Diceros bicornis minor: one gene and its partner. The protein of the gene in region 1 purifies or fractionates together with the protein of each later gene. This does not show direct contact. Links are inferred from orthologs where the notes say so. Each region holds a gene or a part of one and is shown on either strand. Other genes may lie near its edges.

The links.
Region 2: the proteins of POGZ (region 1) and ZNF428 purify together in Homo sapiens (affinity purification with mass spectrometry; 3 studies listed by BioGRID and IntAct, counting the BioPlex papers as one, with this or other methods). This does not show direct contact. The link is inferred for Diceros bicornis minor from reciprocal best matches to the Homo sapiens genes POGZ and ZNF428.

The regions. Positions count from the first base shown.
Region 1 is NC_080743.1:55,723,706-55,730,888, reverse strand, and holds the start of POGZ (pogo transposable element with ZNF domain), read left to right. Parts: upstream 1-4,145; 5' UTR 4,146-4,427; intron 4,428-7,183. UniProt on the Homo sapiens protein: Plays a role in mitotic cell cycle progression and is involved in kinetochore assembly and mitotic sister chromatid cohesion.
Region 2 is NC_080773.1:18,217,370-18,224,898, forward strand, and holds the start of ZNF428 (zinc finger protein 428), read right to left. Parts: upstream 3,260-7,529; coding exon 3,184-3,259; coding exon of another isoform or gene 900-3,183; intron 1-899. Other genes in the region: SRRM5 (serine/arginine repetitive matrix protein 5), read left to right, coding at 900-3,224.

The sequences.
Region 1 (7,183 bases):
TCAGTGTCCTCATACACGTTGACTTCTCTTGACTCCCAGGCTCAGTGCGATCAGCTGTCAATCTTTCTGAGCTGGGAGATGCTCAGATGGTGAAAATTTCTCCACTGTTTTTCTGTCTCTTACATCTTCCAAAATGAGGGCCCAGCCGGTGGCACAAGCGGTTAAGTGCGCACGTTCCGCTGCGGAGACCCGGGGTTTGCCGGTTTGGATCTCGGGCGTGCACCGACGCACCGCTTGTCAGGCCATGCTGTGGCGGCGTCCCATATAAAGTAGAGGAAGATAGGCATGGATGTTAGCCCAGGGTCAGTCTTCCTCAGCGAAAAAAAAAAAAAAAAAGAGGAGGATTGGCAGATGTTAGCGCAGGGCCCATCTTCCTCACACACAAAAAAAAAATCTTCCAAAATGAGTAGCTCCCTTTGAGCTCCTGGTTTGAACCACCCTGAGTGTGTGTTGTAGAGCAGGATGCTTGTTTTTAAAGAAATCTGGCATTGTCCCCCACAAAGCTGCTTTCTGCCTGGACTGACCTCACAATCCTCTCTACTCCCCACCTCAACACGTACTGGTTAGCCTCACACTGAACCTGAGCAGTCAGTGATTGGGTCTGTATAGTAGCAAAATGACAGCAGAGAGGCACCCATGGCTCACTGCTTTTGAAGACATGCTGAAATCATTTGTCTCTCTGCCTTGACACTGTCCAAGCTACAGGTGGTTCCAATTTTCAACTCATGGCAGAAACCATAAGCCAAGGAAGCAAATAAGTGTTCCCATAGACTGTAGAAAAGAAATACTCTTCTGCTACCTAACTGTGAAATGCATAACTTGGGACTTCCATTAACTTTTGACCTTCCTTCCTAGAAACCCATACGGAGAGGATTCCTTTTTTCTAAGTTGGCTACTGAAGACTGGCGTAGCTTTTTAGCAGCAGTATTAGGGTTCAATTTCTTCAATATACCCAACTAGATTGGCTTTCAGACCTCGCCCCAATATGTCACAGAGGCACATGTGAACTGATTTCTAAGGATTCGACCCAGGTTATTTGTTCTGCTGCTTTGTTTCCCATCATTATCAAGATGGTTCAAGTATAAGAGAAACCACAGCTATCAGTTCTACTGCTTCACTCCAGAAACTTGTGTGTTAGCTGACGATAGCAAAATGTTCCAACACTGCTCAGATTAATATGGACGTTCCCTCTTTAGCACGGGGAATACGTTCCTGGAAATGGGAGCGCTAACACTATAGTCTTTTTTGAGATGCTGCTCCAGTGTTGCAAGGTGGTAGAATTTTCTTCAAATCCTCTGAAGTTATAAAATGTCTCTACCCTTGATTTCTTCCAGCTATCAGTCATTCAACTGTTGATTGATCCTCCCAGACGGTGGCAGTTTGGATACCTTTTATAATGTCAAAGAGCTTACTCCATTCCCTGATTGTTGATCCTTACTCTTGTTTTCTGAATTCTTTACTCAAGGGTGCCTCCAGCCCCCACAAAACTCCTATGTTAACATTCAGCACAATATTCTAACTTTATTTCTCTGTGGTAGGCACAGCACTATCCCTCATACACATTTTGCTAGCCATTATGGGTCAAAACTGTCTCCCATGGCCAAAACTAAATAATAGAAAAATAAGTCACAGAGAAGTAAACAACACACCACGGAACTCACTCAGCTGAAGTAGCAGCTCCACAGCTCCCACCCTGGTCCAGGCCACCATCACCTCTCATCTGGATTATTGCAAGAGCCTCCTAACTCGTCTCCCTGCTTTCACTCTCGTCTCTACAAGGAATTCTCTATAAGCAGCCAGAGTGTTCCTTAAACATGTTAGCCAAGTCATATCACTCCTTGGCTTAAAATCTTCCAACGACTTCACTTGCACTAAGAGTAAAACCTGAACTTGGCTTCACTTTCTTCAGGTCTGTGCTCAAATGTCACCTTAATGACAAAGCATCTCCAATCACCCCACAAAAAATAACACCTCCCCACCCCCACACCACACTCCCAATTCCCCCATCTTGCCCTTTTCCCCATCCATAGCACCTATCACCATATCACATATTATATATTTATTAATATATAACATTCCCATTCCAAATACTTTTCTTACAATGTGATGTTTCTACTACTCCCTTTGAGAGATGTTCCCCACTCGCCTTGAGTCGAGGTGAGCCTGTAACGATAGTGGAAGTGATGCTATGTGACCTCTGAGGCTAGGTCACAAAAAGCCATACAACCACTGCCTGGTCCTCGTGGGGCACTCAATCTTGGAACTCAACCACTATGATATGAGGAAGCCCAGGCACATGGAGAGGCCAACAGCCAGCTGTTCTGGCCAACAGCACCAGCTGCAGTCCAAGCCAACAGTCATCATCAACTTCCAGACTTTTGAGGAAGCTTTTGAGTTGACTTCAGCCCCAGCCACTGCGTGAGACTCCAAGTGAGAACCGCTTAGCTTAGCCTAATCATCTCCCAGAACCATGAGAGATAATAATAAAATTGTTGTTGTTCTAAGCCACTAGGTTTTGGGACCATTTGTTATTCAACTGTAGATATTGGAATAATTTGTTTATGTGTATATTGTATGTCTCTCCCCACTACAGTATAAGCTTCATGAGTTCAGGGATTTTGTTTGTTTTCTTTGTTGCTGTATTCCCAGCACTGAGAACAGTGCCTGGCATATAGCAAGTACTCAGTAAATATTTGTTGAATGAATGATGCATTTTCAATATGGTATGCTAATGGTTATTGGCCAACAGTACATGGTACAGTCTGCTGGCCTAGATGTCATTGGCAGATAGCACGAGCTGGCACTTAGGGCATGGCAAAATATGTTTCAACAAGAATATTTCAGAGGCAAATTATGTTGTAATGAATTATAATAATTATTGTAGGAAAGCATAAAATAGGATTACAACTTCATATAGAATTTGTCTTTTGGTGATTGATTCCATAATCCCACTATGGGCTTTTCCAGACCAGGTCTGGAAAGGCTTCAGAGGTTTAGTGATTCTTTCAATTCAAATAATGAAGTTCTTTCTAAGAATGACTAGTTGAAATCACTCACATGTTTTTGGTATGAAGTGGAAAGAAAATGGGTGGTGGCACGTGCAGCCATGTGCATGGTGCATAATTTGGAATGCCTACTTCCACTGCCTATTTTTGTAGTCTGATGTTTGAATAGAGTGTGTATGTAAAGAGAAGGAATAAATATGGTTCTGGATCTCCCCAATGTTGCACCAACATTTAGCACTTGGTTTGGAGCAAATATTTGTGTATTGCTTAAAGAGCAACAACATCCTCAAATAACCAAGGAAAATATTAAAATTTTACCATCATCTGGGGAGGTAATAAATGACAAAATCTCTTAGCTATCCGGAAACGAGGTTAGTTTTTGTTTGGAGAAAAACAACAGGTGGATGGTCTTGACTAGACTAATCAATTTCTTTGGACCAATCCGTCTCAGCCTTGATTGGAGCAAAAAGCACAGATGTGGAGTCTACAGTTTCTTAGAACTGAGCATCTTGGCTGAGTCTATTTACCATGGTTTCAAAGCAGTTTACATACATGAATCACCTTGATAAGCAATCATGTGTGACTTCTTTCCAGAATCCAGAAAGGTTCAGGGTAAAAATGGTTTTTAAAATTTCTTCACTTAAGGCTACTGCCATAAGACTACTTGGTTGAATGTCTCTTGAGGAAAAGTGAGTGCCATTTTGCTGCCTTTGTTCCAATGACAGTTCTTGGTGCCATTGGGCCTCACCATCTGGCCTGTGGCATGAAGTTCCCCTCTTGCTTTGAGTGGAAAGTGGGGAGATTCCCAAAATTTCCTGGAAAGTCCAGGCAAGTGAATTGGGGAATATTTTCTTTAGAAATTCCATTTTTCTCACCCAAACCTAGATATTGTTTCTGAAGCTAATTATTCTTTATTTCATTTAAAAAAATGTTTTTATTTATTTATTTATTCGCAGCCCCAGACAAACTTGACTAGAAAAGAAGCCCGGGCAGGGGTTAGGATGAGCCCATGACGTGTCATGCGCTTCAACCAATTGAAAGGCCACGAAAGGGGGAGGGCGGAAGTGACGAGCCGTATCCCTCCGCGGGGCGAGAGGGTCGGTGGGGGGAGTCGGCGTCTCTCTCCCCCGCGCCAGCTCCCGTACACGGAGCCGCATTCCTTGGCCCCCCCACCCCCCTCCCTCGGGGCCCCCCCCCCGCCCCCCTCGGGAAAAAAATCCACCCCAAGTCACTCGAACCTGAGGGAGGTTTCCTTTCACCCTCCGGGAGACGAGCTTTCAACGGTTCCCTCTTCTCCGTCTACCCCCAAGCCCCCGTCCCCTCCCCTGCTCCCACCCCCTTCTCCCGGCGCCGGGTGCAAGGTCCCTTTAAGGCGACGGCGCCTTCCTCGGGTCAGACTACCGGCGGCGACGACCACGGGAGGTGAGTGAGCGAGCGAGCCTTCTCTCTCCCCACCCCCTGTTCCCGGGGGTTCCGTTATCTTTTCGCTCGGCGAGGCGTTCCGAGGCGAGACAATGAGAGGGGGATGGGGCGGGTACGAGGGGTGGGGGCGGGGGCCCGGTGGCGCGCCCCTCCGCCCCCCGCGAGTGGCGGCGCGGCCCGCGGCGGCGGCGGGCGTGGGGTGCGGCGCGGGAGCGCGTGTGTGTGTGCGTGTGCGCCCCGGGAGCTGCGGGAGGTGCGCGGCGGGCCGGCCGGGGAGGCCCCTGCCGGCCACCCCCGCCCCCCGGCGCCCGCCGCGGCGCGCGCGCGCGCGCACTCGGGCCCCACGGCCCCACACACACGACGTCCACACGCACGCCCGGCGCGAGGCGTCTCGGAGGAGTGGGCGGGCGCGGGCGCGGGCGGCGGCGGCCCGCTGGGGAAGGGGCGGGGGCGCGGGCGGCGGCGAGGCAGCGGGCGCGGCAGGAGGGGCGGGCGAGGGGGCGAGGCCGCGCGCGGGGAGGGGGGCGGGGTCACGTCCCCCGACGGAGGTGTAGTGCGCGGCCCTGCCGCCTCACCCCCGCCGGGGAAGGAGTGGGGCGCTCTTTTTGAGCGTGAGCAGCAAAATGAGTGATTGGTGAGCCGCTCCCCTGCGTTATGTAATCCCCGCTCGGACCAATCGCACATCCCAAGCTTTAGTGCACTGCAGTTAGTTTACAAAGTCTCCTCCCTCGGCCCTAAAATTTCTTTGGGATGGCGCCGTGATTTATAAAATGGGATGGGGTAGAGAATTTTTATTTTCTGATGGTTATATCCTGCCGCGGTGGGCGCCATGTTTATCCCAGGGACTATTTTCTGGAATCTTAGCACCTACTGAAAAGGAGTGACGTCGCTGATCCACCTGCGGTCCCTCTTTTCTGCGAGTTGTCCTGATTTCCTCTCCCGTTAGAGGCGGGATTCTCTCAAACTGTTGATAACGCTGGACGTTTCTCAGCTCTCTTATATTGGACATTCTTAGCTCAGAAAAGGGTAGAGCTGAAAAGAGTCTTCTAAGTTGTTTAGCCCAGTCTCGTTTTCCAGATGGAAATCGAGATAAGTTGTACTATCTCAGAATAGCTGTCTTCGTGTTGCAGACTGGAGCCCAGCCCTTTACATTCTTTTAAAAAGACACCTCCCACCGCAGCTCAAAACCCCACAGAAACGGAGTTTTACTTTCTAAGGAATTTTCCCATGTAGATGAAAGGGAAAGGACGGGGGCGGGGAGGGTTGCTTCTTGGCGAATGACACTGAATTTGGAATCCGTTGCTCTTGGGACTGGTAGTTGGACTCTGAATTCGAGGTGTTCACAATCGTTCTTAACTTAGGGGTGCATAAAAAATACCTTGTAGATTGCTGGAAGTGCGGTTGTGAGGGCCTCATCCCCAAGTCTCTTTGGGTGAGATGGGGAGGGGGGTGTCATCTTCTCTACATTTAACCTGCAGTCCTTCGTTGAGAATTATTAGTTTAGCATAGAAGTGCTCAAAACATAATCTTAAAACAATGAAATTCAATCTGTGCCCTCTATTTCCTTCCCTTTTTCTGTATTACGGTTATACCAGCTGTGATGTTGGTATATCTTAAAGTAAAGGAACTGACAAAATGAAGAGTCGAGATGCACAGGATTTTATTAGAGTTTCTACACTCACTTTGAACCAATGGTATAATCTAGGAAAGCAGTTCTCAAAGTGTGGTCCACTGACCCCTGGAGATCCCCTTAGACCTTTTCAGAGGAGCCACGAGGTCATATAAGATGCTATTTATTTTTATCACTGTTGTTTGCACTGATAGTCCTAAAGCAGTGCTGGGTGAAACTACTGGTGGCGCTTTAGCACAAAGCAAGGCAGTTGCATGAAACTCTGTTATTAGTTACTTGAGAATGTTGTTGATAAAGCAGTAAAAAATGATTGATTTTATTAAATCTCAGCCCTTGAGTACGTGTCTCTAATTTTTAAGAATCTGTGACCAAATGGGAAGTAGGCATAAAGCGCCTAATGCTGCCTACTCAGATATGAGCCTTGTCATAAGGAAAAGCACTTAGGAGATTGAGTTGAAAGCTGCTCATTTCGTGGAACAGCGTTTTTACTTGAAAGAATGACAAACGACAGTTTTTCACACTTGAGTGTTTGGCGCGTGTTTTCTTGAAAATAAATAAAGTGAGCTTATCACTTTGAGGAAAACACTTGACGGTATTTGTTACCAATGATAAAAATTTGAGAGTGAAAATGAGAATTTTTAAAAAGTTGACATCTCAAGTTTGACAGCTTTATAGCATTTGAAAGATTTTTCTTATAATATCGGTGTTAATTAATGACTGTGATTTTTTAAAAATATTGTATAATGAAATGTATCAACATTTGGAAGATTGGCATAACTCACTAAATCTCTATTTTCCCAATGACCAATGCATGACGTTTTAAAATCACCGTGGGTGAAAAGAACCTTTCAAAATGTAAGATACACCAGTAGATTTTAATGTCACGAAGTACGAAAAGTTCATTGATATGGTTTCAGATCCCAAGATGCAATTATCCTTTAAGAAACTGCCATTTGTTGAGTTTTAGTATTTTGTCAATATAAACAGTTATCTGAAAAGGTTTATAGAATATTTCTCCCTTTTCCTACTGTGTGAGGCAAGATCTTTGTTATAAACTTAACCAAAACAACATATAGCAACAGACTGAATGCAGAAACAGCTATGAGAATGTGACTGCCTTCATTAA
Region 2 (7,529 bases), on another chromosome or scaffold:
CTCTGCTATTTAATAAACGTTTCCTGAGGCCTTGACGTGGGCTGGTCCCCCTGCCTGGAATGCTGTTCCCCACTCTGTTTGCCTGGTGACCTCCTGCTCATCCTTCAGGACCCAGCACAGGGTCAGTCCTCCATGAAGTCACCCCTAATCCCCTAGAAGTCTCTCCCCTGCTCCCTCCCCCTGGCCTGGCATCTCCCCTTGCCACAGGCCTAGAGGCTGTAGCCATCTGGGCCCCAGTACGTCTCCCCCATCAGACTAGGACCCACCCCCTCAAGGCCTGGTCGGACTCACCTTAGGGTCCCCAACACTGCCTAGCACAGGACGTGTGGGTTAAATGAACAAGGGTGGCCCCAAGGCCCTCATCTCCCTGCTCCAGGCCCTTACCTCTGCTCTTCTCCCACCTGGGGCGACCTTTTCCTTCTCTATTAGCAAACTCCTGCTCCTCTTTAAGGCCCCAGCTCACACAACACCTCCTCTGTGAGGCCCTCCCTGACTTCCCAGGTGGATGGTGTCTCTCTCCTCTGGGGTCCCCCTGCCCTTGCCCCCCCTACACCCTGATCACCTGGGCAGTAACCCTCTGGGTCTGGAGACTCCTGGAAGGCAGGACCTAAATCTGACCCATCTCTGTGTTCCCAGAGATGCTGAGCATAAGTCAGCCTCAGGAGACCTTTGCTGAATGGCTGCAAAACACAGAGGAAATATCTCTGGCCTTGGGCTAGGGGCCCCATCCCTCTTTCTCCTCTGACCTCTGACTTCACACCACCCACCCTCCAGGGTCTTCAATGCCCTCTATGACTTCACGCAGTTGGCCTGTGAAAGGCAATGAGGTCGTCGTCCACAGTGACCAGTCCTTCATGTCCACCATGACTTCCAGGACGACCAGCCCTTCTGTGCCCACCATGCCTTCTCCAGCTACAAGATCCTCAAAGCCCAGCATGTCTCCAGCGTCCACTGGACCCTCCATGCCCACAGCGTCTCCCAAGCCTCCCGCCTCCTTGAAGACCACCAAAGCAGAGATGCCCAACAGCTCCTCAGTGCCCACCAAGCCACTGACAGCCCCCAACTTGCTCACGAGCCCGAGCAGTTCCAAGTCTACCAAAGGGGCAGGTACAAAGCCAGCCCCTTCTAACCAGCCCAGCAGCAAGTCCCGAGTCCACAGCAGGGCAAGAACATCCAGCAAGGCCAGCACTGATACCAGGGCCAGCACTGACACCAGGGCCAGCAAACTGAGCAAGGCCAGTGGAGTAAGACACCACCGGCGGAGGGGCACGCAGAGCCGGGGCAGAACTCCTGCCAGAAGGGGAAGCCACAGCTCCAAGAGGTCACCCAGTAGGGCCAGCACTCCCAGGAGGATGAGAACTCATGGTGCCAGACCCAGCAGGATGAGAACTCCTACTTCCCAGCAAAAACAGAATAGAGGGAAGAGTTACAGCCGGCCTAGAACTGGCAACCAGGAAAGGAGTGAGAGCCAGCCTAGAGATATGAGCAGAGAGAAGAACTACAGCCCACCAGGAGCCACGAGTATGGAGAAGAGTTCCAGGCTGGCTGTAACCAGCAGTACAGCAAAGAGTTCCAGCTCCACTAGAACTCTCGTCAAGGAGAAGGGTTCCAGCCAGTCTCCATCATCATCGAGGGTAAAGAGTTACAGTCAGATGATCAGCCCCAGCAGGGAACGGAGTTCCAGCCCCACTGAAGTGTCCAGCAGGGTCCAGAGTTACAACCAGGGTAGTGCCCCCACCAGGACCCGAAGTCACGGCCTGTCTGGCGCCCCCAGCAGGACCCAAAGTCACAGCCAGTCTAGCGCCCCCAGCAGAACCAAAAGTCACAGCCGGTCTAGCACCCCCAGCAGGACCCGAAGTCACAGCCTGTCTGGCACCCCCAACAGGACCCGAAGTCACAGCCTGTCTGGCGCCCCCATCAGGACCCCAAGTCACAGCCGGTCTAGTACCCCCAGGACTCGAAGTCACAGCCAGTCTAGTGTCCCCAGGACCCGAAGTCATAGCCGGTCTAGCACCCCCATCAGGACCCGACATCACAGCCGGTCTAGCACCCCCAGCAGGACCCAACGTCATAGCCGGTCCAGTGCCCCCAGGACGCAAAGTCGTAGTGCGTCCAGCACCCCTGTCAGGACCCGAAGTCATAGCCGGTCTAGCACCCCCAGGACCCAAAGTCACAGCCAGTCTAGAACACCCAGAAGGGCAAGAAGTCGCAGTCGGAAGAGGGCCCACAGCAGGATGAGAAGTCACAGTTGGAACAGAAATCATAGTAGGGCAAGAAGTCGTACCTGGAAGGGAAGTCCCAGCCAGATGAGAAAACATAGCCAGTCTAGAACCTGCAGCAAGGGGAAAAGTTATAACCAATCTAGAACCCCCAGAAGGGAAAGAAGTCACAGCCAGTCTAGAAGCCCCAGCAAGGAGAGAGATCACAGACAATCTAGAAGCCCCAGCAAGGAGAGGCGTCACAGACAATCTAGAACCCTCAGCAAGAAGAGAGGTCGCAGACAATCTACAACCCCCAGCAGGGAGAAAGATCAGAGCCAATCTGGAACCTCCAGCAAGGAAAGAGATCACAGCCGATCTAGAACTCCCAGAAAAGAGCGTTATCACAGCCGATCTAGAACCCCCAGCAAGGAAAGAGATCACAGCCGATCTAGAACTCCCAGAAAAGAGAGCTATCACAGCCGATCTAGAACCTCCAGCAAGGAAAGAGATCACAGCCGATCTAGAGCTCCCAGAAAAAAGAGTTATCACAGCCAATCTAGAACCCCCAGCAAGGAAAGAGATCACAGCCAATCTAGAACTCCCAGAAAAGAGAGCTATCACAGCCAATCTAGAACCCCCAGCAAGGAAAGAGATCACAGCCAATCTAGAACTCCCAGAAAAGAGAGCTATTACAGCCAATCTAGAACCTCCACAAAAGAGAGGCATCACAGACGATCTAGAACCTCTAGCAAGAAAGACCACAGCCGATCTAGAACCCCCAGCAAGGAGAGCAATCCCAGCCAATCTACAACCCCCAGAAGTCTCAACCGGAAGGGATCCTCCAGCAGGGCACAGAGTCCCAATCAGAATAAAATACCTACCGAGACAAAGAGCCACTCCCCCTCAAGATTTCTTAGTGGAGCCCCAATCCCAAGCCACGACAATGTTCAAGCCAACACCACCACCTCTAAGGCCACCTCACCTGGAGAGAGGTCCTCATCATCTTCTTCCAAGCTGGCGTAGCCCCCAGTCTCAGCTGGCTCACGGGTCTCTGTCATGGCCAGGGGAGGGGACAGGAGACAGGAGCAGAGCAGCAGCTGGGCAGTGTCCCTCCCTGGCCAGCTCTCCACAGCCACAAGTTCTCTAATGCAGGATGTCGGCAGGTAGAGAGGGATGCTGGATAGGGGAAGGAAAAGCCTGTGGTGACTCAATAAATTTTTACATAGCATCTGCCTCCCCAGCTGCATGTTCAGTGCTGGGGACAAGGCAAAGAAGGCCCCAGCTCTGTCCCTGACAGCCTACGGGGCCTTGGCTACAGGCCTCGCCGCTCTGGAGGCCTTAATTTCCCCATCTGGGCAACAAAACTGTCTGTGGTTCTTATTCGATGGGGTGAGGAAGGGTAACATTCCAAATATTTAACAGCAGGTACTAGCATGGGCACTAGTCAGAACTGAGAGCTGAACATGGTCCCATGCCAGGAATTAACCCTTTAGTTGCTGGACTATAGGAAAGTCTGAGGCTGGGGGAGGGTCCAAAGTGGAACCTGGGGGTAGGGATTACCTGGTGTAGTGGTGATATACCAACCAGTCTAGAAGAATTTCAATACTGAAACAACTGGTATGGCTGAACCAGTTTGTGAATGTCAGCTCTAGTTCTGTATCAATTTATACCTTGGCGAGATAGTGTCTAGGTTGGTTCATTTTTTTTTTTTTTTCTGGTGAGGAAGATTGGCCCTGAGCTAACATCTATTGCCAGTCTTCCCCTTTTTTTTGCTTGAGGAAGACTGGCCCTGAGCTAACACCTGTGCCAATCTTCCTCTACTTTGTATGTGGGTCACCGCCACAGCGGTGGTGTTGATAAGTGGTGTAGGTCTGTGCCCGGAATCCAAACCCGCAAACCCCGGGCCGCCGAAGCAGAGCGGCCTCAACCACTACGCCACTGGGCCGGCCCCGTGTCTAGGTTTGAATCCTAAATCTAGCCAGTTTCCTTCTCAGTACAAAAAGAGCTTCTGGGGCTTAACTCATGTACCCCTCATAACCATGCTGAGACAGATTATTATCTCCTTAGTACAGAGAAGGAGACTGAGGCACAAAGAGGATTAACAAGTAGCCCAAGGTTACACCAACTGGGAGCTGAGTGAACTGGGATTTGAAGCCATGTCATCCCACTTCTCATAAAATGATCCCTTTGCTGAAAAGAGTTTTTGAAGATTCAGTAGGCTCATTCGCATAAATTGCTGGTATGTGGCAGGCACTCCATTAACAGTGGCTGTTACTCCCATCCCCAAGCCTCTATAAACCCCACTCCAGCCATTCCAGACTTCTCCCCTCTCCCTGCGCATGCCAGGATTTTTCACATCTGTGGGTCTTAGCAAATCCCGCTGTTGCGTTCTAGAGCGTCCTCCTTTCCCCTTGTCTGCTTGGAGAACTCCTATTTACCCTTCAAAGCCCATCTTGAACACAAGAACCTCTGCACTTCTTCCCAATGCAAATACCACCCCTGCCTCTTCCAAGAAGCCTTCTCTGACTCCTCTCCTTCCTCTCCCTCTTCACCAATACCTCCCTACACACATACACAGACACAGACACAGACACAGAGCACTTCTTTTGTCTCTCACTGCACTTCCTAACAGTAGAGAGCCAGGCAGAGCAAGTCAGTGAAGGGGTTGGCAGCCTCAGCTGCACCTCTTATACACTACGGACGGCACTGGGCATACAATGCTGGAAAGTACACCATCCCTTCAAAGCCTGGAGGTCAAGTTTAATGCTGGGGACTAAAGAGAAAAAGATTAGGATTGAAGCCTGGAGGAGGCCGGGGGATGAGAGGGCTGCCATCAACGGCAGGGGAGCTTTCTAAAGACACCTGGATGGGCTTTCGGGACAGAGGATTTATAATTGGTAGGGGAGAGTTCTCATAACACCCTATTGCCTGTTCAGCCCCACTTACTTTGGCAATTCTATTTCACACCTCGATAAGCTTGCCAGATTTAGTAAATAAAAACAGACGACACCCAATTAAATTTGAATTTCGGATAAACAACAAAGGATTATTTAATATACATATGTTCCTTGCAACATTTGGGAGGTACATTTCTAAAAGATTATTTATCTATGTGAAATTCAACTTAACTGGCCGTTCTCTATTTTAACTGGCAACCACACACCAGGGGCAATCAGGACATCCCATGAGATTACCATGAGACATGGCTCACCAGTCCAGCCTACCCTGCCCCAAGCCCACATCCAGAGTCCCCTTCCAAGGCCCCTTCCAGAGTATTCCAGAGGTCAGGTGGAGCCATTCAGTAGCGCACAAGTCCCATTCCTACAATGACTATGGCGGCCAGACTGACTCCCACGATCTTAGAGGAGCATAAACGAGGCTCCCTCACTACCGTAAGGAAAACACAGCGCCCAAGAGACCCCACAATGTCCCAAGCCCATAGCAACCAACTCCCAGAAAGCTCTGCGCGAACATAATAGGCACGCGGTCCCACAATGCGAGGGCAAGGAGGCCAAAGCAAAACCCTATGAGGGGCAGTAAAGACCAGTCCCGACAAAGCTCTGCGGCAATTCTTCCCAGGATGCCTCGGGCCTATAATGACCACCCTCCAAGGTGCTCTGCATCGAAGCACTCTAAGCTTCGAGGATGCTCAGAGGAAGGGGTGTGACAAAAGGGACCGGTTCCCCACAAGGAGCTAAGATAATCCTTCCCCAATGCACCAGGCCCATAACGACTAGCGACCGACTCCCAGTGCTTTAGGGCGGGGAGTCCTGTTTTCCCAGGATGCCCAGGGCTGCACGGAGCCGCGTGGGGGGAGAAAAGGCAGCCCGGGCTCGCCCTCAGGCCATCACGGGCCAAGACCGCGGCCGGCTCCTCGGTGGCGGGAGCCGTCACTCCCATCATGCAGCGGTGCCGTAGCGCCCGCTTCCCAGCATGCCCCGCGCGCCTCCATCCCGGACACTCACCGGCGCCGACGGCCCCCGCTCCGGCTCGGCGGCGGCGGCTGCACGCCCGGGCTCTGCGCCTGCGCTGCTGGTGGGGTAGGAGGGAGTGCGGGGGGCGTGAAGAGCCTAGGGCGCTTGCGCGGAGAGATGGACCGTTCCTGTCTCACAGTGGGAAGGGGGGTCTCCGAGTCGGGCTCTCGACGAGGCCCGCGCAGGGGGTTTCGGGCTTTGCCCCCCGCTGTCCGGGTTTACTTGGTACAGTCCGCAGCCCGGCGGAACGAGAAACTGCAAGACTCGCGCGTGCGTGAGCGAGCAGGAACGCGCCTTGTAGAAAATGGGATGCGCTGGGGGTGGGGGGCGCCCGCTCTGCCTGGATCCTGGACCTGAGGCCTTCTCATTTGCATAATCTTCGCGCGGGACAATGGGAGGCCTCGGGCGCTGAAAGGGGTGATTTGCATATTCCCCGGAGAGGCCGTACTTCGGAGCGCAGTGATTAGCATATGTGGGGTGGGGGCGCCTGAGCAATGCGCGTGCGCACAGGGACTGCGGACTAGCGCGAAGCGGGGAGCCTTGTCTTAGGATCAGTTTGCATCCCGAGAGCGGCCACAAGGGCTAGGACCCTTACCAACCCTCACAACCCTCCCCGCTAGCCAGGATAAATATTTATTGCTCTCCTATGTGTCAGGCCTTGTGCTAGTGGGCACTATGGTTTCCGCAGTGAACAAGAGGCGCCCCAGTCAAAGGAAGGAGATCCACACATAATCAACCACAAGCCAGAGTGGTCAAAGTTGGGATGACTGGAGCATAGGAAGCTGTGGGAGCCAGAGGAGGCGCCTGCCCCAGCCTGGAAGGCTTCCAAGAGGTGGTGATCTTTAAGCCAAGGATGAATAGAAGCCAACTAGAGAGGGAGTCTTTCTGGCAGAGGAAACAGCAAGGGCAAAGGCCTAGAGGCAAAAAGAAAAATGCATGGTTTGAGGAAGTGAAAGCAGTTTAGTATGCCTGGAACAGAGAGGGGAAAGTCTTCTACAGGTGATGTTGAGCTCAGACTTCATGCTGAGAGTATAGAAAGGTATTGCAACATTCCAGGCTTCTAGGAAGTGACTCATGTTCCAGCTTAAAACTTGCTAATGAGATCTCATTACACTTAGAAAAAAATCTAAACTCTTTATCATGGTCCATGGGCTGTACACAGCGTCTCTGGCCCTGCTTATCTTTGACCTCACCCACTTCTCTCTCCTCTTTATCCACTCCTGTCTAGCTCCACTTCCCCTCAAACACCCCAGTCTCTTTACCATCTCAGGCCTTTGCCCATGCTGTTCCCTTTGCCTGAAAATGCTTTTCCCTCTGATCTTTGAATACTTGCTGTTGTGCTCCTCATTCCTAT